Astyanax mexicanus: one gene and its partners. The protein of the gene in region 3 interacts with the protein of the main gene of each other region in a pairwise test. Links are inferred from orthologs where the notes say so. Each region holds a gene or a part of one and is shown on either strand. Other genes may lie near its edges. The genes, in order: tax1bp1b, bcl2l13, gabarapl2 and TBC1 domain family member 9B.

What was found.
Region 1: the proteins of gabarapl2 (region 3) and tax1bp1b interact in binary tests that used the Homo sapiens proteins (3 or more experiments, as listed by UniProt). The link is inferred for Astyanax mexicanus from reciprocal best matches to the Homo sapiens genes GABARAPL2 and TAX1BP1.
Region 2: the proteins of gabarapl2 (region 3) and bcl2l13 interact in binary tests that used the Homo sapiens proteins (3 or more experiments, as listed by UniProt). The two-hybrid records come from large-scale screens. The link is inferred for Astyanax mexicanus from reciprocal best matches to the Homo sapiens genes GABARAPL2 and BCL2L13.
Region 4: the proteins of gabarapl2 (region 3) and TBC1 domain family member 9B interact in binary tests that used the Homo sapiens proteins (3 or more experiments, as listed by UniProt). The link is inferred for Astyanax mexicanus from reciprocal best matches to the Homo sapiens genes GABARAPL2 and TBC1D9B.

Annotation. Positions count from the first base shown.
Region 1 is NC_064413.1:42,619,145-42,626,564, reverse strand, and holds the start of tax1bp1b (tax1-binding protein 1 homolog B), read right to left. Parts: upstream 3,007-7,420; 5' UTR 2,856-3,006; intron 1-2,855. Other genes in the region: hibadhb (3-hydroxyisobutyrate dehydrogenase b), read left to right, coding at 4,780-4,849, 5,876-6,033, 7,245-7,354.
Region 2 is NC_064416.1:24,766,033-24,774,056, forward strand, and holds the start of bcl2l13 (bcl-2-like protein 13), read right to left. Parts: upstream 3,009-8,024; 5' UTR 2,795-3,008; intron 2,746-2,794; exon of another isoform or gene 2,548-2,745; intron 1,452-2,547; 5' UTR 1,393-1,451; coding exon 1,278-1,392; intron 1-1,277. UniProt on the Homo sapiens protein: May promote the activation of caspase-3 and apoptosis.
Region 3 is NC_064417.1:10,973,338-10,980,251, reverse strand, and holds the start of gabarapl2 (gamma-aminobutyric acid receptor-associated protein-like 2), read left to right. Parts: upstream 1-3,898; 5' UTR 3,899-4,090; coding exon 4,091-4,124; intron 4,125-6,044; coding exon 6,045-6,100; intron 6,101-6,914. Other genes in the region: tmem231 (transmembrane protein 231), read right to left, coding at 519-600, 681-824, 1,289-1,417, 1,762-1,928, 2,156-2,294. UniProt on the Homo sapiens protein: Ubiquitin-like modifier involved in intra-Golgi traffic. Modulates intra-Golgi transport through coupling between NSF activity and SNAREs activation. It first stimulates the ATPase activity of NSF which in turn stimulates the association with GOSR1.
Region 4 is NC_064409.1:65,606,054-65,613,497, forward strand, and holds the start of TBC1 domain family member 9B, read left to right. Parts: upstream 1-4,439; 5' UTR 4,440-4,625; coding exon 4,626-4,743; intron 4,744-7,444. UniProt on the Homo sapiens protein: May act as a GTPase-activating protein for Rab family protein(s).

The DNA of each region.
Region 1 (7,420 bases), on a different chromosome or scaffold from region 3:
ATATCACTTTTGTGGTATATCGATATGTATTATGTACAGAATCTGTCACGGACAGGCGTTTTTTACTGGCGTCAGCTCGCCGCAGAGCCAAACACATTCAGCCCCCATAGCTGTGCTACCTCAGTGCGTGATGACGCAATCACACAGGCACGTAGCCAGATAGGCTATGCTAGGCTAGGTTAAAATGGCTAGGCTAGGCTAGGCTAGGTTAGGTTCAGGTCCGCTCCGCTACGCATCTAAAATGTCTCGAAACGGAGCCGGGACGAGCGGATCCAAGGCTAGGGTAGACTCGGTTCGGTCAGCCGCTGTTTCGCTCGCCCATTCGCGCGTCCGCTCGCTCATCCGCGGCTCCGCTCGCTCATCCGCGGCTCCGCTGGCCCAGCCGCGGGTCCGCTCGCTCATCCGCGCCTCCGCTCGCTCATCCGCGGCTCCGCTCGCCCAGCCGCGGGTCCGCTCGCTTGCCGCTTTGCTGCAAATTGTGCCGGTGAGTGGAGCCGACAAGCAGCGTAACGTTAATAGATCTAATCTGTTCCACCACCTCAAGCATCTTCACTACATACAATATTTTCCTTATACTGACTGAAGCACTTTAATAGATTATGTTGAAACTAAGTTATTTAAAGTTTATGAATCCTTTAGGTTTGTTTATTTGACGTGGATATCATGTTGAATACCTCTTGTATTCTGACTAAAGCACTTTAATAGATTATGTTGAAACTAAGTTATTTAAAGTTTATGAATCCTTTAGGTTTGTTTATTTGCCGTTGATATCATGTTGAATACCTCTTGTATTCTGGCTGAAGCACTTTAATAGATTATGTTGTCACTAAGTTATTTATAGTTGAAAAATCCTATAGGTTTGTTTATTTGACGGGAAAATCTTGTTGCTTTTATGTATATAAAGGCTATTATATATCCTAGTTAAAACACTTTTGTTTTAATCTGTTAAATTTGTTTACAATGAATAAGAAGCTCTGCCTCTGTTGTCATTTAAAGTTATTTTTATTTGTAATAGTTATATAGGCTTATGTTTGACAGGGATGTCCTGTTATTATTTTACTATATGCAAATAAAATTGAGCATTGATTTATTTTGACTACTTTTATTTCTAAAGTATTAAAGTTTTTGTGAAAGGAGGTTTCAAAGACTTAAAAAACATTTTCATACAGTAGTAGGTACAGATTTCCATTAGATAGATTGATACAAAAAGTGCAAATACACAGTTAAATAATAATTTAAATTTGCAGTGCAAGCTGCAGAGATTGCAGGGATTCTTTTTCTGAGGCCTTCAAAGTATTTATCGATATCTAAATTATATCGTATCGACCGAAATTTAAGGAATATATCGTGATATAAATTTTGGCCATATCGTCCAGCACTAATGTACACATTTTCTCTTCCATTATAAGCTCTAAAGTGATAAGTTAACTAATAGCTCACTGATTGTATTGGTTTTACTGCTGTACTGAACAGAGACTAATAGGGACACTAGCTACAGTGTGGAATAGGTATGATGCCTTCAAGTCCTCCTCGGGAAAATCCTACTTAGGAGGTTGTAGGTGGTAATAACTACTTGACATGCGTTCATGTGTTTTTTGGTCGGGTGGAAATGAACGCCATTTAAAAAAATATTTTGTTTATACTTTTGATCTTTTATCATAAAAAACAGGAGGTTTATTTTGCCCTACCCCAAGTGAATGAAGTGAATAAGACACGCATTAATTGAGTGATGTTTTCATTTCATTATAATATTGAATCTTACAAGACTTTTTTTTACGTATTTCTAGTGATTTTATTAGTAAGCTAATATTAACCTGCAAGTGTTCTAATGTTGTAGCAATAACAGAAGTGTAAGCAGTTTACAATACGAACTGTCTGCATCAACTTATTGACTTTGTTACTGACACGCCCCTCTCCTAACTATAAAACTCAGGGCTTATCTAAAAATACGAGTATTACACTGATAAATACGAGTTTATGGTACCGTCCATGTGCTCTCCTCTCGTAAATACGATATTTCCAACAATAATTGAAGGCAGCATATAATTTTATGTTTGGCTATACTATAATGAAAGAGTTACGTTAGGTCCGATATCACAACATGATGTTATCTAGGTTTCCCTTGTTCCCCTGGACTTTGAATGGTAGCTAGGCTAACTAACGGTAACCCAGCTAGATGACTATTAACCATCGCGTGTGGTACAATGTAAATCAAATTTAACTATAATCGTATTAACTTGGCAAACAGAAACGTGACAGTGGGCATAATATATTAAATACAGTGTAATTATAATTTCAAACTTGAATAAACATGGAAATGTAGCTAGTTTAGCTGCTTAACTGTTAAAAACACTCGCTAATCTAAAGTACAAAGTTCTTCGCTAGCTGCTAATGGGAGCAAAACGCAGAGACCTAGCGCTAGCTAGCTAATAGCTAACTAGCTAAACAATAACAAACGAACCAACCCACAGTCAGTAACTTAGCCAGCTATAGCTATATTAGCTTAGCTGTCTATATGACACTCACATTAATGACACATAAACGCTTAAATGATTTTTTTTATTGGATGGGACTGTTAACCTAACGTTACTCAACTAAGTTAAGCTAAAGAAATTCAGAAGTTAACTTAGCTAGGTTAGCTACTTAGCTTAGCTAGCGATAAGAGGCCGCTGGCGTTAGCATTAGCACTCGCTGGCGATCTATCTGTTGTTGTGGGTTACTTGTTCGCTTTCATTAACAGCGTATTCTGTTTACCTAAACCCCGTTCTGAACCATGTTTCAGTCTAAAAAGCCACATTTCGCTTTAGTTATAATGTACGCTTAGTTATTGTAAGGGTAAATAAAGGCAGGCCTACCTCATGCTGTCAGAAACCTTCTCACTGCTGCTGTTGACGCACTTTACTCAGGACAGTCAACACAGCAGAGAGGCGTCAGTTCCGCCCTGCCTGGAAACGCTGATCTGTTTTGAGAGTGTTTTCAGTCGGTCTGCTCAGCTGCTCAGCGCTGTCCTTCCTTTCCTCCTTCAGAAATATCACCCTTGTGTAATCTATGAATCAGATCAGAACAGCTTTATGAATCTGGAAAAGCAGAGGGGTTTCCCACTGCTCCATTTACTTATACTGAACTCACTAAAATAGACATAAACTACAATATTAAAAATTACAAAAATAAACAATTATTCTTAATAAAAACTAGCTTAGTAAATAACCAAACATACACCTAATTGTACACAAGGAAATGTCAGTGTCATCTTAAAAAAACATAATTTTATAAATTTTGTATATAAATATTATTTATTTGCTATACAGTCAGGTTCATACCCTGCTAAAAAAAATCAATAAGATCAATACCAGCCTGTCATTCAGAAAAAAACATGCCCTACGAACTGCCCTCAGTGATATGTTTTACCTGGATGTGCCGCTTCCAAGCCACTTTGACCTTCATGTACCACCTTCAATGAAACCAATTATCAACTGAAATTAGTGTTCATACGGATTTTACTTAAATGTTTATAAATTCAAGGAGATTTTATTGTCATTTCACATCACATGTGGTACATGAAGTGGAACAAAATTGTATTGTCATGGTCCAATTACACCCAAACAGAACATGTTAAAATGGATAAATATAAGATAAAATAGAACAAAATGAGAGATGTTGGAGTTTCTAGTTTAAGTACATTAAGCCACGTCAGGCTTTTTACCTCATAATAGGTTTCAATGGGAAGAAAAGCCACATTAAGCCTTTTTATGTTAAGACTTTTACGTTTAAACTCTTTCCTTATTGGTTCTTTGTAGATCCAGATCTTTGGTTTTCAAGCATGCTTCTGGAGCTGCTTGTTACCTGCTATAACATACCCAGCTCCCTCAGCAAGGGCTCATTAGTTAATTAGTTGGATCAGGTGTGCTGTAATTAAACAATAAAATCTAAAAGCAGTTTATGAGTTTTTGTGTAAAATGTGTCACACCAAAAGACAGTGTAAAATGGAACTGATGCAGGAGTGCTAGAGGCTTGATTTTTTTGTAAGCATTAAAGCTTGTTACCTTGTAACTTTCATGCGTGAAAGCAAAAAGACGGTTTTTAGGATCACATGAAATCGGAAAACGGATTTGGCACTTTCACACAGCCATGAAAGAAGCAGATATGAGCAATATTGAGCCAAAAATCTGACTTCAGCCTTGTAATGTGAGCATAGCCTAAGTTGTAAAACATTAATATTTGGCACATTCAACTTCCATTTTGAGAAAATGTAGAAATGTATTGAAACTAATTTTAAATATTGTAAGTTTGTAAATAATTATGCTTCTAAGCAATATTGAGCAAAAAGGACTTCAGCCTTGTAATGTGAGCATAGCCTAGGTAAAAAAATGTACAACATTAATATTTGGCACATTCAACTTTCATTTTATGAAAATGTAGAAATGTATTGAAACTAATTTTAAAAAATATTGTAAGTTTGTAAATCATTATGCTTCTAAAGTTCTGTAGAGTTCTGTAGTTGTTGCACCAATAAAGACACCATACAAACATAGCTACAAAAGTTTCATAAGCATAGAGTGAAAACCAGATACAGGCCCAAAGGAGAAAGCAGCAGTCTGATAACCTTCATTATAAAACATTCAGCCAATCAGACTGGTCCTTCAGAGGATGTTCCGCCTTCGCGTGAGACTCCGTGGAGGAGGAGTCAGAGCAGACTCTGCACTGCATTGGACAGACGAGCTGTCAATCTTGTCCCACCCAATACGTGCGCTGTGAGTCGGAGGTCAGCAGCGCAGCAGCATGGCCGCTCTGTTAAGGAGGTCTCGGAGGTTTGTGGGACAGTGGCACAACCATGTCGTCTGTGTGCAGGGTATGCTCTCTTTATTCACTAAATCCTCTTCATTAACTGCTTTTATATGGATGTTTTGTGTATTTGCGCGCTGCTTGGCATCACTGCTCCAAAACTAATGGCACGCTCCAACCAAACTCGAAGATTGTAGTGAACTGCAGCGCTGGCTAATGTTAACCTAGCTACCTTAGGTTGGGTTAGATCAGTGGCTGTTAAGCTGTCAGATATAACTTAACTCCTTAACATACCTTGTCCCGTATACAGGCTACAGGTGTAGGTGATACAAAATAATTTTTTCTGATGCAAAATAACTTATTAGATTCTAAACATTTGAGGGCTTTGAAATTACCTATAGGACACTATATCTCCTATAGGAGAAGCTGCATGTTCACTCTCTACTCCACTTAATAATTCCAGATCAGTAACAGAATTCAAGCCAAATCCTGCAGGTTTGAAAATAGACGTAAAAAACTAGACAAACATAACGAAACTAATGGTCTAGAGGACATAGACTTTTTGATTTGTATTCAGGACAATATTGATTTTAAAATGAAGTTCAGGAACGAGCTATTATCATTATATTTTGATATTAGCAGATTTACTTTAAATATTTTTATTTTATATTTTATATTACTATTACAATTATGCTTTTCAGTAATGTCCCTTATCAATCATGAAAGCTTTTTATGTAATGCCTGAATAGAAGTCCTCAAGATTTAGTGGTGTAATGACAGGCAGACAATTGACAGAAATCCTGGCCTGGTAAAGGGGTTTTAACTACAGTCATGCTGGTGTCAGCTGTAAAAGAGCAAATTTTGCTATATAAACTTGCTTAAATGCAAATGCAAAGAGGGTGTTCATGTTTAAAATAATGTATAAAATGCACACAATGCCTTTTTTTTTGCTTTATCCACTAGGAATCTTGAATAAATATTGGTTTTGTTTGTTTGTTCACCTTGAGATTAGCCAGCTATCTACAGAGTTGAAGGGCAGTACTTCTGCACAAGGGCTTGTATGAGCTTTTAATCAGTTTTAAATGTGTCTCAGTCTCCAGGTCCATGGCCTCCAAGACCCAGGTGGGCTTCGTTGGGCTGGGAAATATGGGAGGCCCCATGGCCAAAAACCTCATCAAGCATGGTTATCCAGTGATCGCCTGTGATGTGTTTCCAGAGTCCTGTAAAGAGCTTCAGGAGCTCGGAGCTCAGGTGGGGGACAGTCATATTTTCATTTTTCCAGAATACAACAGTATTGCATTTGTCATATTAGGGGTGAGACATATAAATAAATGTCAATATATTAAAACTATTGCATACAAGAAATGAAAATCACCATATTCCTAGTATCACACTTGTTATGCAGTAAAAATGCAAGGGTCATTGTACGGAAATGCTGTGGTTTCCAGAGGGTTAACACTCAACAAAAAAACAGACAGACACCCAAACATTTTTACTTTTGATGCCTATTAGCGGGTGTCTAGTTTGAAAATAACTACTATTTGGCACATCTTATAGACTGAAGTACAGTCCACAATTTCTCAACAGAATTGAGGTCAGAATTTGGAAAGACTGTTACAAAAGCCTAGTGTTGGCGTGCTTCCTTATTCATTTAACAACCACCTTTGATGTGTATTTTGGGTCACTGTCCTGTTGGGACAAAGTTTTAACTGTCCAGCTAATTGTTTGAAGTTATGGTAGCCCAACTTCTTCTCCTCTTCGTACTTCATTATTCTATACACTTTGTGCAATGAACAGTTCCAAGACCCAGAGCATGTTGCTACCACCACCATGCTTAACAGTTTGTGCCATGTTTTTTAGGATGAACAAACTTACATATGGTTAGCTGAAATCTTAAATAAAGCTTGAAGGAGTCAATTTTGGAACAAGGGCTTTTTCATTTGGATAACAGCCTCTCATTTCATGGAAATGTAAAACTTTACACAGGTGTTACAGCAAGTTAACATTTAACAGCGGTCCTGTGTCTTGGTGCTTCAATTGTTTTTGCTGGTACAAATTAATTTTCTCTCAGCTGAGCGTGACCGTTTTAAATCTATCTCCAGATGATGGAAAAGTATGTATTTTTATTTATGTATATTTGTAATACAATGTTATACAGAAAGGAACACACAAATTACCACAATTGCTTCTCCTAAGTTTGTCTCCACTGCCCCATTTTAAAACTAAACTGCTTAACTTATTAAGATATTTGTAAAACTAAAACACAGTCATAACTACTAGTATAGTGCTTCTTTCTTACTGTATCAACAGATTAGCAGTTTACATTAGTGTCATAGTTTTTCAATGTAAACATTTTTTTGGGCATGTTTATCTTCTCTATAAATGAAATACAACTAGAATACAGGGCAGATTTGTTGTTTTTGCTATGGAAATAATTTTGTTTACTTTGCTATGGAAATTAGATCTTGGACTCGCCTGCAGAAGTGGCAGACAAGTCGGATCGGATCATCACGATGCTCCCCTCCAGTCCTAATGTAATTGAAGTGTACACCGGCCCTAATGGGATTTTGAAGTAAGGGTCTTTCTCTCTTTTTTTTTTCTCCACCTTTACTCCTTTAAAATCATCCAAACTCAGACA
Region 2 (8,024 bases), on a different chromosome or scaffold from region 3:
ACAATAATTGAACACTTCCTGAATATTTTTAATCTTAAACATCTTGTGTTCTATTGTTCCTCACATAACATGAACCTATAGGCAGTGGTATAATATTCACTCTAGGTTGTCCTACTCATTTAAACTCACACAGGCTACATACAAACAGACCTAAACCACATGCTAAGCATATATTAGCCTTTACCCTTCCAGCACTGCTGGCATCATGTGATAGGAGAAAAATGACTGGACAATGGAAATGACTCAAAAGAGGTAAAAAAGGAACGGTATGAGAAGGAAGGGTATGTCTGTATGCGTGTGAGTAAGTGAACTTGTATTCCATTTTTGTAGTTTCTTTACTGACAGAGTTTGAAAATTCAAGCTGGCGTTTACACTGCACCAAAATTCATGAAAAAGAGACAAAAATATATATAGTCCTATTATGTTAGATAAACACAGTTTAACAGTTAAAATGTTTTAAAATGCAGCTGCCTGTTTAGAAAGTGCAGGAGTGTCTGACTGCAAAATGACTGATAGTAATATCTCCCTGCCATCCTTATCAGTTCACTATAAGTGACAATGGTTAGTAACAGCAGGAAAAAGGAACTAAATTCCAACATCATTCTTTCTCTCCCAATTTATATTATATTTGTCACAAACAGACCTGTAACACAAGTAAATCATGACAACATACATTAGATGCAGTTTACAGGCCCATTCACAACCTTATAATCTGCCCCTATAATGAAACAAGCCGGTTTTATGGTGGACTCAAAAATAAATTTAGTTAATTTTAATTATACCATTCAAATAAGTATCCAATCTATAATTACCACTTGGCCAGTTTTGACTACAACTAGCAGGGCTTTCAGCAGTGGGCTGGGTTTATGTCAAGTTTGGGTATGTAGCAAAAAAAAAGTCAAGACTGTTACGTAACAGTTGTATTGGAAATCTTCAAAGCATGCTTTTTCACACTCTGTACATTCTGTACATATCAGCTGAACTGCTAAACTGAGGTAGGTGGAGCTGACACATAATACAGAGCCATGCATATAGCTTACCCTCTGCCCATGACCTGTCCTTTACAACTGCCCCCCCCCCTGGTTTCAGTGCTTAGATAAACACTTCTGAAAAAATACATACCCAACAAAACACAGAATGTGAATTAATGAAGGTCTTTGATGTTAGACTCTTCTAACTGGAGCTGTAACAATATGCTGTGAATGAATGTGAATGTAAAGGTTTGACTACTTTCTCTCTAAAAGGTATTGCATTAAAAAGCAAGAGTTTACATTTACCTTCTGCAGGCCTTGAGTGTGAGGATGGGGGCAGGCTGAGGTAGCTGAGGAGCACATACTTGGTTTCATAGTGGAACCCTTCAGGCACAGTGGTGGAGGAGCCAGAGGCAGCCATTGAAGAGACGTGTCAGGCTCTTGGGTACATGAACTACTGCCTGATTGTTTCCAAAAAACCTGGTGGGAGCATAAACAAATTTTCAGTATTTGCTGTACACTTTAGACACTCATGTAAGTTCATGTAAGGGCAATATTTTAACAATTAATAATTTCAGGACTGCCATGATTAGTTAAAATTAGTTGACTCCAAATTTCAGTGCTGACTAATCGTTTCTAAACATGGCACTATACGTGTTAAGGTAGAGACTGGACAATAGAGTGATATTAACAGGTGTGCAGAGCTGAGTAGCTGTGCTTTCAGGAGGCAGTTATTAAGGTAATGGCAAAAATAGTTGTTGACTAATCAAAAAAATGAGAAAAAAAGGACAGACTACCAAAATAATAAAAATAACAAATGAAGCCAATAATACTTCATTAGGCCATTACCTCAATAACTTTTGCTCACCTCAGTGTTCATTAATGTGAATGAGGTGGTAGGTCAACTTTTAACTGTTTAAAGAGGGTCTTTTCTAGAAAAAAAATGTAAATCTGTCAGTAACACTGCAAAGCAGTCAGTTTTTTTTATTATTACACAAGACAGTTGGAAAGAGTAAAACAGGACCTGTTGAAACAGTGATTTATGAGTAAATAATTTAAAACTAAAACAAGTTGTTTTAATTTTGTGCAGATTTTTATAACTTAAGATATTCTTCGATTCCAGATGCAATGTTTTAATACTTTTTAACAGATAAAATATCATTGCTATTTCAAATGTAAATGTATTATTATTCAATTATATTATCTTGATATTTGTGGAATAAAAGTACAAGTTGGTTATTGTGACAGGACTAAACCATGAACTAATACTACTGTTAAAAAAAAGAAGAAAAAAAAGAAAAAAAGGTCTAAGGAACTACTTACATTTCCTGGCACACAAAAAGACAACACATGCTAGCTTGCTTAAAAATAAAAAGACTAATGTCTCAAACCCCACTTTTAGATAGCTAACCTAGCTAACTAAAGGTTAAAAACTGAGAATGTCACTGCTCAGGTTGCATCACATGGATGAATGAGTTTCGTACTTAGAAGAAAACACGTTTAAAGTTTGTCACAAAAACAAAACAAAAAACAAACAAACAGAAACATCTTGTCTAACTAAAAGTTACATACTTACTCCGATTATTTTACCTTTCTGTTGTTTCTACAGAAGCTCTGTCCCTTACACTGAGCACAAGGGCATGCAGGCATTCACTAACATTCACACACTCTCACACACACACTCACCACACCTACCATGCGCTGACTTCTTAGCACGCCTCAGCACTACAGCTAGCCAAGCTAACTTTAGAGCCACTCACAACAACAACAACAACAAACAGTGGCAGCCAGCAGCGCTGAATAAAAACCACAACGGTGTTTACCTTGCCGACACAAACACTTCAGCTGTGAAGAAGCAGCAGCAGCAGCAGTGCGGGTCTGACACAGGCGGGTTAGCTTAGCTCGCTGGCTGTCAGTTAGTACCAGTGAAGTAGCTAAGCTAGCTGTACCGGAGCTAGCTGAGCGGTTAGCAGCGTGGCTACTGTGTTGTGCTCGGGTCAACCAAACCTTTTTTTGGACAGCCCACATGCACTCCCTCAAAGCCCACACTATAGCTACAGAGATTATGTAGCACCAGCCAGTATATTCAGGAGCAGCGCCGAAAGTTAGCTAACTACCCTTTTTTAACAAAAGAACTGTGCTTACCTAAGTTAACTAGTTAGGTTAACTAGGTTAACTTAAGTGTCAACAGACGTTTTCTTAAAGCTGTAACTTGTCATTTTATCAACACATTTTGTTTGCGTCCTCGAACTTCAGTTAAATTATTCTAGTAAATTGAATATTATTATTATTATTATTATTATTATTATTATTATTATTATTATTATTATTATTATTATTGTTGTTGTTGTTGTTGTTGTTATGTACAATGCACTATGCATCGTTAGAATACAGAAAATGAAAAAAAAAGCATGGTGCAGGGCACTAGGGTATCTTTTAATTAAATGTAGTTATGTATTTTGGGTGAAGTCAAAGAAAAAAAGGGAAATATATATTTTATTTATTTATTTTATTTATTTATTTTTTTTACTTTGGAAAGACAGCCTATTATTGAAAAACACGTATGGATCGATACAAAAAAATAAAAAATAAAATATATATTAATAATAGTGATAATAAAAATATTATTATGTTTGTGGCAAAACCACGGAATTTGCATGAAAGGGTCCCACAATGTAATTATTACATTAAATTGATTAATTGAATTATTTGTTTAAATGGATTTATACGGTTTATATTAAACGTGAAAAATACAAGCAGATGTCAGTTTTGTACCGTTGTTTTAATAGTTAACGTTACTGATAGAGTGCTGCTGCCCTCTACTGGTTATATCATAACAGTGACGAACAGGGTTCGTTCTTTATTTAAGCGACATATCTATTGAGTTAAATCAGTGTCAACAGAAGCATACATACCATTCTTCTAAAATACACGTGTAGAGCAAAAGGAACAGTACAATAAATACATTGATAGTAAAGAACACTAGGCACATATACAGCACAGGAGGAAAGTATGAGGCCTGAAAATATATTATGTAGGGTTCAAATTTCTGAGAACAAGAAGTTTGGGTTGCACCAGTTTTGCTTAAGTTCCTTCTTAATTTTGTGTGTAAAGTATCCTAAAAGTGTAAAGTCTCCGTTGATACAACTAATTAGTTACTAATTAGTTTCAAACTGTCTATTTACTAAATCTGATGGTACCACAAATCCGTATGTTGGGTCTTAACTAGTAACCTAGTTACAAATTACACATGCGCAGATCATGGCAGTCAACACGTAGCCATGGAAACGCAGTTCTGAAACACCAACATATAAACGGCACTTACAGCATGTCTAATTGGATAATATATGGGATAATATATAGCATATAGTATATATAGTATATTGATCATTATATTATATATACACTGCTATTGGATAACTTTATGCCACTCCTGGTGCAAAAAGTCAGTTCAGCTTGATTTGACGGTTTGTGATCATCCATCTTCCTCTTGTTTATTTTCAATTTGGTAAAATCAAAGAAACTCATCATTTTTAAGTGGTCTCTGCTTATATATATTGTATTCCAACATTCTCTTTTTTTACAGTCTCATATTTTTTATGTTTTTATATTTTATACATATTCCAATATAAATATAAATTAGATACTAGCTACCATATATAGAATAGTTTGTGTGGTGCAACATGTTCTGATTTAGTAATGCATAAATATGAGTTTAATAAACACATATGCTACAACTAGCCTGTGTTTGAACTATACGCACAACTGGCCACTGGTCCCTCAACACCACCTCTAAGAGCAGCTGCTCAACCCTTCCAACCTGCGCAGACTGAGGACAGCAAGTCTCCACCCTCCAATCTCAATCTTTATACCAAGTACTACAGACCCTACCCCAGCCTTGTGTTTTTATTTTTGTTGTTGTTTATGCCTTATTTGTGACTTGTGAAATATCAATATCACGATATCCAATAGAATTATCACACACCACATTGTTTGCCCATATTCACTAATAACACTAATAGTAAGAATCTGAGACACTTTGACAAAAACTAAATTTTGATGGCCAAACATCTGTTTCAGAATATTGCCAAAACATCAGGCTGGTCTTGCAGTAGTCAGTACAGGTCAAATATGCTTCAAGGAGGGACAAACGGTGAAGTAGTGTGAAAGTCATGGGTGGCCAAGGCTCATTGATTTTCATGGAGGCCCCACCTCTCAACTTACAGTACTTAATAGAGCTGCTGCTGTTAATGTCTTGGTGCCCTATAGGACAGGACATCTTCAGAAGTTTTGGAGGTCTGGAGTCCATTCTTTGACAGGTCAGAGCTATTTCATCAAAACAACAGGGATCTACAAAATATTAGGAAGGTAGCTTTAATGTTATGACTGATTGGTGTATATATCTTTGATGTCACACAAAAATGTGACAGCAAAAATCACTTTTTGAAAAATGACCAATACTCCAAATAGTCTTGGAATACAATATTTCTACATCAACATCAATTGAAAGTTCCTCCTTAACATATAGTACTGTAGAATTTTTGTTTTTGAACCAAACTATTTGTCTTGGAGCCTAAAAAAAATAAAAGGGCCTTAAAGTTTAAACAGTCCAACAATACACTTATAAGCTTATATGCATTTATGACATTGGAGACTTATACACTACACTGTTCTTCTAAAATAAGATTTGGGCCACTTTCTGGACCACACTTTGCAAATCCCTGATCCAAACTTTTACATACAGTTGACATATTTCCACATTTTTAGTACTTCCTAAGTAATTAGGGTCCCTAAGTAGTGTTTTCACCACCCAAAACTATGGAATGTTATATAAAAAGGTTTAAACTGAATTAATACCTCATTAGTTGTGTTAATAAATACCAATGTAAACCAATGGATTACACAGTATGTTTATTGCACTGCATCTATTTTCATAATTAGTCATCAGTGACATCTTAATAAGATTTTCTACTAATATCATGATTAGCATAAACAAAATTACTTACAGGAACTCCTGATGGATCAACAGCTTATAGCTAGGAATGCCAATCCACTGTTCCGATGGACAATCCCTATTTTTCCTGGAAAATTTAGAGGGGACTTTCCAAATTACCCTGTCAGTGGGGATTCTCCTTTGATATTTTATGTTCTCGATAGTCCACACGCAGCTGCACCGCGTTTTGTCTGTAGATCCCCTGTAAACTAAACTCTGTGCTGTGGTCAGAACTTTCTAAAAATGACAGTAGTAGATAATTATGAGGTTGTGGGGTTTCCTGTGTGTTCCTTCCCGTTCCTAGTGAGGATTAGTGCAGGAATAGCTAGATTTAACGCTGTAATCGAACCAAAAGCAGAGCAATTACAGTTCATCTCATCTGAACATAGGGCCCCTAGTCTCCAACTTCATTTACATTATAAATGCTCACAACACTTTTCACTCTGTTTCTCAACTATTCATCCACAACTATTCATCCACAACATAACAAAATATAAATTTGTCAAAACATAGAAAATTGCTCTATTTAGTATCTGAAATTATTCAACTATTATTAAACAATAATATTTTCCAAAGAACTACTCAGTCAATTGTACAAAACATACAATCATAATATGGACAGTATTGGAAATCCATACTGTATCCATTTATATTGACCATTAAAAAGGACCATCCAGATTGTTAACAGAAACAAGCGCAAAAGCCAGGCTCTGTTATGGTACAGGGCTGTGTTTTGTGATTGCAGCATTAAACCACATTATAGCAACATATGCTAAATTCAAATTAACATACTTTCCAGAAATATCCATGTAGAATGAGATGCACACACATTGTTTTTTTACAGAACGCTGTGTATAGAAAAGCATTGCTAATACAATAGGATGCTGTGAAGCAGCTGCACATGAGCCTCAGGTCACCATGTCCAATGCAAGCATGGGCTAGAGGCCTGTAAATCCCCCAGAGCTGGGATATTGAGCAGTGAAGAGGAATTCTCTGGAGTGATAGTACTCCCTCCAATACCTTTTGAATGAGGTAGAGTAGTGTTTGTGATCCTAAACTAATCTCCAAATACCAGTATTTGACTTCACTAGTAAAACTGGGGATAAAATCTAATTCTTACAGCAATGTTTCAAAATCTTGTGCAAAACCTTCCTCCAGAGAGTATGAACAACTACTATGTTAAAGGGTAGGGGGCAACATCCTTGTTTACTTTTAATTTTGGAAGAAAAATAAGTGAATAAGTGGATGGTTACAGACTTTTAGACATAGGGTGTAAATGTTGATGCCAACTTTGTTTGTTTCTACTGAAACACAAGTCAGCTAAGCTTCTGTAAGCAGTATCCTCACTGTGTTTCCATTAAATTACTCTCACTGACAAAAAAGAATAACGATTACAGATTACAACTCAGGGTCTTGCCAAAGGTGTAGAGGGCATACAAGTTTTCTGTGGAGTGAAAAGTCCCCCAGCTGCTGGTGTGATGATCTGGGGAGCCATTGCATATAACGGTTGGTCACCCTCAGTAGTTATTTGAAGGACAGTAACAGCTTAGCAATATGTGCAGGAAATCCTCTGTTCCTCTGTTGCTTCCAACAGGCATTTTCAGTAGGATAATGCTCACCCACACAAAGTAAGGGTTTTCTAGGAATGTCTCCACCAGATTGCAACACACCCTTGGCCTGCATCTTTTCCACATTAATTGACAATCAAGCATTTATGGAATCTGCTGGGATGCCATCTTCTATAACTTAGGGTTATGCAGGATCTACTGGCCTAGCTACAGCATCTGTGAGCAAATGTCCTGCAGGAAACCATATAGAAGTTGAATGCCCCCATACCCAATTGTATTTCATTTTAAATCCAACACAGGTGGCCAAACAAGGTACACTTCACACCATGAACACACACCACAAACTTCACACTCAAACACACACCAAAAACTCCACACCACACAGCACACTCCTTCCACTCACACACATACTGCATACACTCACATCACACCCGTGCCACACAGACTGACCATTGAAGAACAGAACAAGGATTTTTTTTCCTGCTGTACACA
Region 3 (6,914 bases):
GTGGAGGTTGCTGCTGATGTCACTAAAAATTATTTCTTCACAGCACTCGCAATGTTCCTGTCATCCACTGCTGCAGTTTTTTACTTGGTGTACCTGTTAACATCTGTTATTTAGTACACCAGTGACGAATTTCTTCTTCAAGACATTCAAAACTGTTGTTCTGGCTATGGACAATATGTGTGCAATGGTTCTGATAGATTTTCCATTTTCTCTCAGTTTCACAGTTGCTTGTTTTTTACTCATAGACAGCTGGTTTTCATGTTGGTTACTTCTCTAACTTTAAATGCACAGTCTGCAGATCTGAAACTGAGTGTAGACATTCTGTGCTATTTATTGTTTGAATAAAATACTTTTGAAGGGCACTGTATAAGCGTCTCAACGGGCATTAAATGTGAGTTACGACTGAACATTTACATTTGAATTAAGGAGAAAAACTGAATTAAGGAGGAATATTTGCTTTGGAAACTATCAATTTACAACACAGACATATACAAATACATATAAACACTTTCTCTTACAGTTTCTTGCTTGATAGGCTCTGATGATGCTGGCCAAGTCATAGGAAGTAGCGAAGGGACTCCCTGTTTCGACCACTGACACCTAAAAAGAAATATAGCACGTAAACACACCTACAAAAAGCATTTAAAAGTGTGGTGTAAAGTATGAACACAAACTCTCACATTGTAGGCAGCATGTAGACCTCTGTGTGGCAGTGGGATCTGTTGGTGGAGCCTCAGGTCCCCATTGATGAACAGCTGTGATCCAGGAACGGAGGAGGAGTGCTGAATAAAGGCCATAGACTGCATCACTACAGTGGACATCCGCTACAAAAAGAGTGACATGAATTCAACCTGACAGTTCCACTTGTTCAATCAAGTGAAAAAAAAAATTGCAAATGCAGTGAGAAAAGCATCAGAAATATGTATGGCACAACAACCCAGTGTTTTGTTTACTAATGTTTGTTGGAGTGTGGAGTGTATTTTTTGATGATTGTTGGTTGGTTCGATGGCAGCTATTGACACCTGATGTTTGTTGCTATGTAATATTGTATGATGCAAACTGATTACATTTGATGGCATTACCTAGTGTCTGCTGGCATTTGTAAGTGTTTTATTATATATTTGGTATTAGAGTTTTTTGTAGAGTTGAGGTGATTTCTGCCATTGGACTGTATTTGGCGTAGGGTGGCATTTGCTTGTGTTTGTGGGATTTTGTTGAATAATTTTGGGACAGTTTGCCCTAAATTAAGGGTTAGGGTGTGTTTTTGTGGTACTGTGCTGATACACACAAACAACTGGTATGAGAAGGTGAGGAGTAGCTGAATGCTGTAAATCTGCTCTTCTGCTTTCAGTGGAACACTGAGCTGGAGACGCAGCCGGTCTGATTTTCCATCCTGATTGCTGTCCTCCTCCTTGACCTGCAAAACACAAACATGTGCTTTTAAACATAATACACTTATTTCATATGCCCACACCCACTGTCAAAAGTTTGTTTCTTCCACCTTTGTACTGTCTATCTAGCTGTGTTAACCGAACACTCCAAAAGCTATTTAGTTATTTGGAGCTACTCAGACCAAAGCTATCTAGTGTTGGTGAGGCACCATAAAAATTATATCCACCGCCTTCCAAAGAAAAGAACCTGTGTTTATGAGTAAATAACATTTTGTTTGTGATGCTCTGGTGAACTCTGGGAACATGTTGTGTGCTAGCTAGTTTGTGGTATTCAAACTTTTGTGTACATTTCTGTGTCTGTAGTACTTACAGACACTGCAGGGATGCGAAGGTTGCTTCCCAGCAGACGGTTAAAGTCAGGAAAAGTGCTCCACGCCACAAATTCTCCTGCTGTTCCAGTGGCTCCAATCATTAACATCTGGTACTGGAACTGCACAACCGGCTGCTCCTCATATGTGCTTCTCTTCAGCCAGAATCCTGCAAACAAAGAAAAAAAACATCAGTTACTGATGAAATGCTGCACTGTATTGGAGGTGTCAGTCAGTAAAGCCATGCACTGTTTAACATGAGCTCCTGGAGTTCATAAGCTAGTCAGCACAGCCAGTATATTAAGTAAGTCCATGAGCAAGTTCACGGGGTTAATATACTAAATTCTTACAGTATACCAGCTGTATTAATGAGGTGCTGCTGTAGTGAACACTTACCTTGGCTCTTGTAGGCGACCAGCAGTGGCGGGATGTACGTAAGACAGAAAACCATCAGCACGAACAGGGTGGCGCGAGTACACACATTGGTTTTATATCTTATTAAAGCAGGGTGGGAGTACACTTCATAAAAAGCCATCACTGAAACCCTCCTCGCTGTTCTGAACTCGCTCTGAAGAACAGTTCTAAACTCGCTCTGAAGAACAGTTAAAACCTACTGAGAAATAACAGTGGGGCTGTTCTGGTTAGCATTGGTTAAGGTTAAGCTGTAATGGAGATGTGTTAAGGTGTGTTGTGTGCTGTAGAATCGGTTTCTCTCGTATTTAATTCGGATTAAATGTACTGTATCTATCAGTTCGGCCGCAGACGTGCAGTGCCTAATTCGGGTTTAAAAGCCATGCTAATGCTAATGCTAACGGTAACTGCTCCTGAAGCGAAGCGTCCCAGCGTTACCATGACCGCCTCCAGGAAACAGAAAGCGAACATCCGCCCACAGTTACCATGGCCACCCACGCCCCACCCCCTCTGTTGTCAAATATATTTATTATTCCACCTCTTAGCAAAAAACTTAAATCATACCAAAATAAAGCTACCATTTAAAACAGATTTATTACTTTTTTTTTTGCAACGTTTTAAAAAAGGTCCCAGGAAGGAACATTACAGATAGTGTTCCAGGAATGTTATTTTAACGTGATGTGCAGGAGAAACACGTACACAAAAGTGTTATATTCTGTATTTAATCACCACAGAACATATAGGTGATTTAAAAATGAACTCTGCCACTGAAAATCAAGCTAAGAAGCTGAAGCCCAAATATGGGCATAACAAAGGCCACAGAATTACCAGTATTTATAACATACTCATTAACCAATAAATAGCCTTAATAGTATATTAGGCCTAATTTTTTTTTTTATGACAATATTTAAAACAATGGTTAGAGACAAACGTCTGGACATAGCTCTCCTGGTTTCTGGTATACTGTGTGTGAAACTGATCTGATTACTGAATTGGACATTTCAGACTATTTGGTCCACTTGATTTCATGACTGATTAGAATGCAAGACAATTATTAATACGATAAATAAAATAAAGGACAATAAAAAAAACATATATACAATGATAATTTACATTTAACAAACATGTCCTAATAAAAGGTTTTCCAGACATATATTCAGAATTATGGTGAACGTACATTATTTTTTTTTTCAATTGCTAAACAATATGAAAAGCCCATATTCAGTTGTAAGGATAAATATAAATGTAAAAAAAAAAAAAACAAGCCTGTAGGCCACCCTCCCACTTATATCAAAGAACACTAACACTAAACCTTATATATATATATATATATATATATATATATATATATATATATATATATATATATATATATATATATATATATATATATATATATATATAATATTGATTATACAACCTTTATCTAACATTGGCTACCTGAATTGAATCAACGTTCACTTAAAGGTTTTAAATGATTAAGGCTCTTTTAACACTTTTCAAGTTAATGCTTTTTAGGATAAAGGTGCTTCCCACAAATAATAAAACTATGTGTTATAATATGAATTATGCGTTAAATGTATATTTCAAGCTTAATATAATACAAACAATATTTACATATTTACAAATCAAAATCTTTGGGGAATGTGGTTGGTCACCGGGTGCAGGATTTAACCCGAGTCCTGTTTCGGCACATCCCCCACAGAGCTGGTTGGTATGACCTGCATGACGTCAGCCGTCCGTCCAGCAGTGCTAAAGCTAATGCTAGTGCTAAGGCTAATGCAGGCGGAGTGTTGACACCGCTGCTGTTTTCAGGATAATCTCCGTTTCTGTCTCTTTCTGCTCGGGTTATTCTTGCAGCTCCTGTACACTGATTCATTGTTTCACCGCACTGGGAGAGGGCCGCCCGAATCCGCCACCATGAAATGGATGTTTAAAGAAGATCATTCTCTGGGTAATTCTGTTTAATCTGATATAAAACTGACTTTTATCAAACCCACACAGACCCGCGCTCATTATTCACCGCCAGTAAACACCAGCCTCAGATAATGTGGAGATCTGTACCTGCATGTCTGAATACTAGGGGCTGGTCGTAATCATGTTTACATTGTTAGGCCGTGCGTGTGTGTGTGTGTGTGTGTGTGTGTGTGTGTGTGTGTGTGTGTGTGTGTGTGTGTGTGTTAAAACGTTATTAGCTAGACGTAGGGTAAATAACTACACCACCCCTTCACTGACCCAAAATAAACCATCTTACTATAGAAAAGCGATCACACCTTTATTCAGAACTGCTGTCTGTTTAAAGATCCCATGTTGCTCTCCATGATCTATTTTAACACTGATTTTTGCATTGGTGCAAGGGAATATACTTGTTGTTATTTTTCCCCAACCTCTCTTTATAAATGCACTCATTTTATTCAAAAGAGACGATTTTCTGTCATGTGGAACTAGAAAATACTTGAATAAAGTATTATCTCATGTCACACTTATCAATATGTTACAGACGACCAATTGATATTCAGTAGCTCAATATTGATTATCAATATAACATCCTGAGTTCTTGTGGCCAGTGTGTGCTAAAGTGCAGTTATTAAAGTGTGTCTTCAGGACAATGCCAGCCTCTCTGACACTAATGCCCACTGATGCTCAGAGATCATTATCAGCAGAGCTTATAGCCACGCTTCTTTTATTATAAGCATACAATAGCCTAAAGTGTTTTATTGTAACAAAACAAAAACAGTAGAACAAATTTTTGCATCCATCTGATCTGATAATTAAACTATATAGCCTTTTAATTTATTATTTGTATTAAATTGTATTTTAATTCTAAAAGCTGCTGACAAATGATTTTTGTTTTTGTATAGTTTTTACAACTTATGTTACCAAGCATTTTTACAGAACTCCCAAGAAGCCTGTAGCCTTGTACTGATATATTTTTGTTTTAATTTTATTATTTATCTTTAAGATCGAGTAAGTCTCAGGTTATCATTTTTAATAGTCTATTTTTAATTTAATTCAATTCAATTCAATTTAATATTTATACTGTTGATCCTGAAATCATTAGACTGGCAGACTCTATCCCGGTATTGATTTCTTTATTGTTTACTGTGGACAGGTTAAGAGTCTGCACATTAGTGTTTGAGCTAAGTGCTTGGACAAGAATGTTTGAGCAGCATTTTCTGCTGTTAGACTGTAATACATCTTCAAACTAGAGAGAAAAATAGGCTAATAACAAGCTCTCTTGCCTGTTCTTATTAAAGTCTCTGCAAATATAATTGCTTTTCCAGACCGGTTTGTGCACTCGTTTAACCTTTGAAGAAAGCTGAGCTGATAAAACAAGCATATTATTTAATATTTCTTGACTGATTGCTGTTTTTATTTGAATTAAATTTACTGACATATTTTTAAACAGCTCTTAACCTGCATTCTCCTGTTCTTCCTCTGAGCTTCACTTACAGCTTCTGTGTTGGGTTGCCAACAAGAACCAGTGTTTAAATAACACTCTTTAATTTTTATTCAGTGTTTTATAGTGTTCTGTATCAGAGCACTACTGTATATACACACTATGTGCTTGCATAAATGAAACAAAATAATGCATTCAGCATTACTTATTATGCTTGGTATTAGGATAGGGATGTTAGCTGGGGTATCTTTTTGTTTACCAAAGCACTGGCTACCTTTCTATGCGTACCATTCGAATCACATGTGATTTACTGCTGTGACTTCCATATGACATTAACACAGTACTGTCAAAACACTGCATGACACGCCGATAAATTGGAAAAGTGCTTTGCGTCATAAAGCACCTGCTTACATCAGTGTGCAGTGCAGGCATCGGTGATTCTCCTAATCATATTTTCTCGTTTCTTATCTTTAGAGCACCGGTGTGTGGAATCGGCCAAAATCCGCAACAAGTACCCTGATAGAGTTCCAGTGAGTATTAATACTAATCAACATCATGGACTTAGAGATCATTATTCTTCTACCTCAGTGTATTTCACTATGTCTGTACATGTATTGTGTGAAACCACTGTTTGATATCCCAATATTGATGTGAAATAAGATAAATAAAGATCCTCAATCAGTTTAAGCTTAAGAGTTTTTCTCAGGCTGAAGATTAAGTTTGATGTGCGTGTTAACAGTGGACTTCTACCTCACCTTGTCTAACTAGTTATGTCACATGAGTACAGTCTGTAGCATTAAGGGCTCCATTTGTGTTTATGGTGAAAACTGTGATAACAATGAAAGTAAAATTTGTCTCACTGCCCTAATATAGAAGAAATGCCACTAAACTCCAGTGCTTTTATAGAACACCAGTGGCCTAAACAGTCGTCTAAAACTGCTAAAGCCCTTTAGCCCCACAATGAACAGATCCACTGGTCTGTTTAGGGTGAAATGTTGAGGTTTGTTCAGTGCACAGTAGTGCTAGCTTAGCCTGTTGCAACATTCCTACACTACACTGACATGCCAACTGTGATGGGACGTAACTAATTTTGTGTCCCATGACTTTTGCCATGTCCTATGGAAGCTAAAGAACGCTGCACTGACCTGTGAGATGTGTGTGTGGGGCCTCCTGCATTAAATGTAGATGTCATTTCTGCCAGAGTGACCTTTCACACGGTTTAACGGTCTACATGTTAAATTATAAAATCAAGAATGTGTAAATACAACTTTGTAAATTGAACTTATCATTCATCTAACACCCACTATCAGGTCCTAAACTTGTTGCCTTGTCATAAGAATGCTG
Region 4 (7,444 bases), on a different chromosome or scaffold from region 3:
ACAGTAATGATTAGAGCTTCTGTGATAAATCAGCATTTTCAGTACAGGATCAATAAATCAGCATTTCTACACTAATATCACATGTTGGATCTGTTCAGTAATGTAGAAGTGCTGATATTCAGTATGTGGAATAAATGTACTGGAATTGTGTGTAAAAATAGGTGATGTTGTTGTTTTCAGTACCCGGAGTTGCTACAGTGGAGACCTTGGTGTTCCTCTGTCCATCCTTTCCTCTCCTTAGGCCGGATGGATTCGCTCAGTTGCTTTACCTCCCAGATGTCGGTGAGTTTCTCAACAGTCTAGATCTCTCTCTCACTAAACATTACTAATAGAACAGAACTATGTGAAGCACGTAAACAAATCAGATCGGTATATAAAAGCTGTACATGTGCAATTGTACCAGATTAAACAGTAAATTAGTTTAGATGGTTTGAGCACAACTGATGAGGCCTATTTCTGTTTTTCTGTTTATCTGCAGGTCTGTTCTACCCCACTTTCTTCCCCCTGGTGTGGGAGGACAGAGCCGAGTCTCAGCAGCCATATTGCCCACCTGTGCTACATGGATCTGCTGTGGCAAGCCTACCTGAAGACCAGGGTCCTCCCAACTGCCTGCAGACAGCTGGAGCATCGACCGGACAGGGACCACAAGCCGGGGGGGCACTGCATCGCTCTCCCTGAGGACGACTGCGCACCACCTCGCAAGAGACGCCGCATCTGATCCAACCTGTATCCTTTATTTATTAATCTGTATATGTTTATCTATTACTGATAAGTTTACTTTATATATATTTATATTGTATAGTCCATTAATTAACTAGCTATATTTTTATAGAGTAGATAAGTTTACTTTATCATTTTATAAAGTTTCATAAGTTTACCTAATAATTTTAGAGTTCATAATTTAATTATATATTTTTTATAGAGTTCATAAGTTTCCTTTATAATTTTTAGTGTTCATAAGTTTCTTTTTTCCTTTTTATGAAATTAATAAATTTCCTTACCATTAGACTTTAATTAACTATTTATTTGCTTAATTACCTATTTTCCTAATTAAAATATTTGTTAAATTACCTATTTATTTATTTGTTTAATTAACAATTTATTAATTTAATTAATTTTTATATGCTTAATTAGCTTACTTAAGAACAATTACAGACCAGTTTAAAAGCACTGTTTTTTTGCATTGCTTAATCCTCTTTCTGATTACTTTATGTTGTAAAAACTTAAAAACTTAAACTTGCATTCTATGTATAAAATTTGCTTTATAAATAAATAAATAAATAAATAAATATTATTACTATAGTTACAAATTCAAATAATATTCATTAATTAAATTGTTAACGACAATTTTAGATATTTCACAACATCTACAGCAGTTTTTTTTATGTTTATTTTACTTTAAATTTACCTTATTAGATTTAAAGCATTAAAAAAATATTAGCTTTTAAAACATAATAGCATTACACAGTTTCAGAATTAGTTTTGAGTTCTCAAAAATGTAAATGTTTAAATGATCAGTATTAAGCATTCAAGAATGTTTTTATGAATCTTTTAACTGTTATTGTTAGTATATAGTTTTTTTTGCCAGATTGTTAATATTAATATTATTGTTTTTACTCTAGTCACATATTCAAATAAGATTTAGTTATTTAAATTGTTAACGACAAATTTACAACAGTTTTTTAACTTTTATTTTAATTTTAATTTACTTTATTAGATTTAAAGCTTTAAAAATATTAGATTTCAAAATTTAATAGCTTTACACATTTTCAGAATTAGTTCTGAATTCTCTAAAATTTAAATGTTCAAATGATCAGTTTTAAGCATTTAAGAATGATTTTATGAATCCTTTTTAATTGTTATTGTTAGTATATAGTTTTTTTCTGCCAGATTAATATTAATAAACTCTATTTCAACCTACATTCTGTCTCATGTCTTTTATTTCTTATACCTGTTTGTAAACATTATCTACTTAATTGTGTGTCATGTTATTTTAGCACTGATACCAGATATATAAGCAATTTAAGTGCTCTACAGAAACTGTATGGATGCACTAAAAATTTTGATTTTAATAAATTTACGATTTTAAACCTCTTATAAGAAAGTCAGTTATCTAATGTGCTAGTTCAGTCCAAAGAGATCAACACCAGCCTTTTATATATTAGTGAGTGTAACTACTTAAGGACATGGCAACACATTACAGGAAGGATGTACATCTACTTCTTACCACCAGATTTAAAATCAGAATGGCCTACAGTGAAATCAGGGAAAAGATAGCTGCATACAGACGGTACATGTGGGTCATTTTTGTAAAAGAAAGACTAAAAGTGTAGCTACTATGCTCTCCTTTAATAGCATGTGGTCATCACAGAAATCTCTGTATTGCTGTACATTCATTCACCTTAAACTACCTTAAACCTTATATGGACATTGTGACGAGCACATCACACAAGCCATTGAAGACATGGCTAATACCATACACACTCTTTCCCCTAAACTGCTTCAGTCCTGTTGTCTCATGCAAATAATGTTAGAAGACTCCAGGAGCAGAATGTGTATAATAACTGCTTATGACTTCATTAAAAAAAAAAAAATCCCATATCACATGTCTAAAAGAGATGGAGAGGGAGAGAAAGGCACTCCCCTTGTGTGCATATTCATGAAACACATGCAAAACCAAGATTTATATTTTATAGATAGATAACCCCTATAGTATATATAATATAGATAGATAATCCCAAATTGGTCCGGGGGAACCTACCTGAAATTAATTTTTGCAACTTGGAATGTCCAAGCTTTGATGTTCAGTCATTAGAATAGATGTCCACAAAGATTTGGGTGAGTGTACATTACAATAGGGCTGCAATGAGGTCGATAAAATCGATAATGTTGATTATTTAAATTTGTCGACTACAAATTTCATTGTCGAAATCGTTAATTTGTAACAGTACTCTCCATGCTTACACAACATGTGGACATTTAAATGCCCTTTAAATCTCATGTTTGGCTGTTTCTGTTGTTTTTAAAGATGGATGAGATGGCAGAAATAATTGCTGACTAATCGACTAATCGAAATATTATCATCAGATTAGTTGACTACAAAAATAATCCTTGGTTGAAGCCCTACATTACAATAGCACTTATTAAAGTGAAATAACGTAATTCTTAATTTATGTGAAAAAAATAATAATAATAATGATAATAAAATTGTAAATTGCAAAAGTGGTCTCAAACACACACACACACACGCACAAACAAATATAAACTCTAATTTTGGTAAATTTCTTTATATGAACTCATTCATTTTGGACTCACTCAGGAGTGCCCTCTCGTGGTCAAACCGACACGAAAGAAATGCTCAAGTGGAAATTCTCCTTTATAAAGTCTCTCTAGTCGAGACTTGGAAAAAGACATGATCCATACTACCTAAAATAAATCAATACTGCACACAATCAAATTCCAAACCAGTAGTTAAATAGACATAACTTTATTACCCATATAATTTATTTATTGGTACATAGTCCATAAGTATGACTGTATTTAAGCTTCAGTATGTAACTAAGGAGCAAAATAGAGAGAACTAGGGAATGTTTATTGTATTTACACATAAATAAATGCATTTAACTTATTTTATTTTAGTTAATATCTTAGTGTAGGAAATACACTATCAAATCATTTCTTTCCTAAATGCCTTTGGGAGTGTGAAAGATTCCAAAGCAAATTGATGAGTAGAACACTACATGGATATCTTGGATATCTGGTATCTTGACACAGCACTTTTTTTTAAATAATAATAATAATAATAATAATAATAATAATAATAATAATAATAATAATAATAATAATAATAATAATAATAATGGTAAAGACCAGAAACAAAAAAATGAAAAATATATACCGAGATTTTTTAAAATGTGATGTTAAAACACTTACCCATCTGTACATGCTACTATAATGAAATATAACTGTAAGTTTCTAAAATTACTGAAATCTAGAAGTGCTAAAGATCTTTTTAAATTACTAAAAGAATACCCCACTAATGTTCATTTTTAAATTAAAAAATTACACACCAGAACAATAAGAACATTGCCAAGATATATGCCCATTAGCATTTTCACAACTCTATCACAGAATTAATGATTACTAATTAATAGCACCAATAAAATCGATATTAACACAACTTTAATAATTAATTATTTTCATGTAAGTTTTCAATATTTGTTTTATAATTTGATGTTAAGTTTTGTTGCTTATGTGTGTAAATGTGTCGTATCATGATGCATTGCTTTCTCATAACTTAACGATGCCTTTACAGTGTTGTAATTTTTAAGTTTTTGAAAAACAAAAAAACATATATAATGGTGGAGACCCCGGAAGGTGAACCGCACCTTTATTTTGACAGGGTTTCCAGCGGGCCGTCATGTTGGTGATGTCATCGGGGCTGGTGCTGTGTTGCTCTGTGCTGTAGCTGTAGCTGGCGTAGCTGCTGTGCTGTGGCTGTGTGGATAAACAGTGGGTGCAGGCGGGCGGGCGCGGGCTTGTCGGGTGTGGTATGGTGTTAGTGGGCGCCGGCGGGGCTCGGCTGCTGATCGCGGGGCAGGGCGGAGGTCTGTGAGCGGGAGAAGATGTGGATTACTCCGGAGGAGGTGCTGCTGGCCAACGCGCTGTGGGTCAGCGAGCGGGCCAACCCCTTCTTCATCCTGCAGCGGAGGAAGGGACACGGCCGGGGAGGCGGAATCACCGGTGCGTGTTTATGTGTGTTTGTGCGGTTTAAGAGGCGCTGCGGGGCTCGGTAACTGTGAAACACAGCTCTGAAACACAGCTCTAAAACACAGTCTGCAGCCCCGGGGGTAGAGTTTACTGAATGTCACTGAAGTCGTGTTGTGTTTAAGTCTTTGTTTATGCGGTGTTTATTTACTCGCTCTGACTCTCTGACTGCCTGCAGGTAAGCTATAGCTGACGGTGGCTAACCCAGCCTAAGCTAAAGAGCTGTCTCTCTCTCACTCAGCGTCTGTGTCTCAACGCCTGTCTGTGTCTGTGTGTGGACGTGGTGCTCTGACTCTGTGTGATGTCTGAATACTGACATTTCTCCCTCCAGGCAGACAGAGAGCGTTAGGTTACACTGCTGCTGTTTCTACAGATAAACATCCTGTTTGTGCTTGTTTTAAAGCACCTCACAGTGTGAAGGATGAGGTCAGTCTGAATCATCTCAGTGTAGCTCAGTGAACAACACAGGGGCGGCTGCTCTTCTGCTTCCTCACGCTTAACTATTTAATTTCCTTTTTAACGTTAAAGTATTTGGGCTTTATTTGTAATTATTAACTCACCAACCCAGTGCCTTTCTTTGTCTAATTAGATTGGGTTATTATCCTTGTGTGCAAATAAAAAAATCCTAGCTACTATTATAGCTAGATTATCGTAAAGTTAGTGGCCAGCAGAAAATTGTCTTAGCCAGCTAGTAGGGATGCACGATGATATCGGAATAATATCAGTCGTTTTGACCGATATTTCTAACTGATACCTGCTGATGCATTTATTGTATGTTGGACACACTACTTTAAAGTTCTCATTCCATCGTTTTCATTCATTTTAAAATGTCCAGTAGTAGTCTCTAGTATGAATGAATGTTGGGTAAGCTGTTTTTTGTAAGTGTTTTTATATATCTCTGCTGTATTTTACTGAGTTTGTGGTCTTTGAATAAAGACAGGATTTCAGCTTTTGCTCATGTATACTCATACATGCAAACATATTGCCTCTGATTAACTAACGGCACTGTGATGCAGCAAGACAGACGTTTTTACACTAATAACAGTATTTACAATGTCATATGTTACTTTACATCATGTGTAATGCCCTGCTAAGTGCAGTTCAGCCACTGACCTAGTCTTAGAGTCTCTGTAAAACGTGAAATCCACCGGAGGTCATATGTAAACCTATAGTTACTTACACAGAGGTGGGTAGTCCAGGTCTAGAAAGTAAAAATCCACCCCAGGGTTCTGTTGGCTGAGCCAACTGAAGAATTTTTATTTTGTGGTGTAACAGCAGGGGCTCATCAAAAACATTTGTTTTTCCCTTTATGCAAGAAAACAAACCTTGTAGAGCTAAACTTCCCTATTTGAGCTTAATTACCCCCTTAATTCACCGTAAATAAAAATTAAATGCAGGCAGTGGTGAAGTTGCTGTGTAGTGTACACAACAATAACCACAATGTGCACCATCCATAATTATTATTTTAATGAATAGCAGACACTGTATTTTTCTTTGGTACAAGCTACTCAGTTTGCTCTCAGTTGTTTTTCCTGAGTTCTCCTCCTTGTAGCTTTAATGTTGCAGACTGGATTGGGGTGAAGATCAGTGATCATGAACACTGTAGAATGTTTATGAAAGGACAGTACATGAGCAGACTCAGACTGTACTACAAGAATAAAGTATTAACAGGAGTAAAAATGAAATGAGAAATAAAGAGGTTGTCATTTTAACTATGCAAGATTACATTGGTTAGAGGTTCACCCAGCATTAATTCTTTCCAAGTAAACAAGACTAATTAAACAAGATTGTAAGGAATCATTCATATTGCAAACACTGTTGTTACCCACTGTGTGCTCCAAAACAGCATATTATGTATAGGTCAATAATACTATATTGCCCAACTCTAATCACATGCATTAAAAAATGATATGTTTGACTACACTCTTTTCTCACTACAGCTCAATCAGGGTCCAGTTTTCCACAAAGATAATCAGTGTGATGAGTTAGTTTTGGTAAAACCAGCCCAGTACATGTTTTATGGAAAGTTTACTTTAATATAATAAAGTTGCTGGCAAAGATTGCCTTTTTTTTTCTCTCCCTCCCTATTTTATAGCTTTTTTTGGTAACTTGGCTAAACAATCCCATCCGCACTGACCACGACTCCTCCCTGTCTGTGTAAAAACAAATATGCTCTCTTTAAGGAGAAATTCTTCATAGGATACAACAGAGGCAGCCTTTGTTTTCACACTTGCAGGGGACACGTCACAACTGAAACTTCTCCACCCATGTTGGTGCAAGAAATTGAGTTAAATCAGAAATATTCAAGCTGCCCAGGCTAAGATTGACCTTAAAAGGTCTTAGCTTAGTTTAGTTTAAGTAGTCTAGTATTTCAATGTTCAAGTCTTATCAAAACTGAAATACTGGTCAACATTCACCATTTGTTACAATTGTCTGTCAGATGTTTCCACCATGCTGAGATCATGTTTCTTGCTGCATATTAACTACTTGTGGCTTTAGAGATCAGAGTACACACTCAAATGAGAGAACCACACACAGCCAGGCACTGTTACAGTTGTGGTGTCTTAAGAGTTTGTAGTGAATGACACACAAACAGACTATTCAGAGAGATCGCTGAGTCAGTCGAATGAAATCAGTGGGAAAATGCTGATCTTAGTATGTGATGAGTTAACTGAAG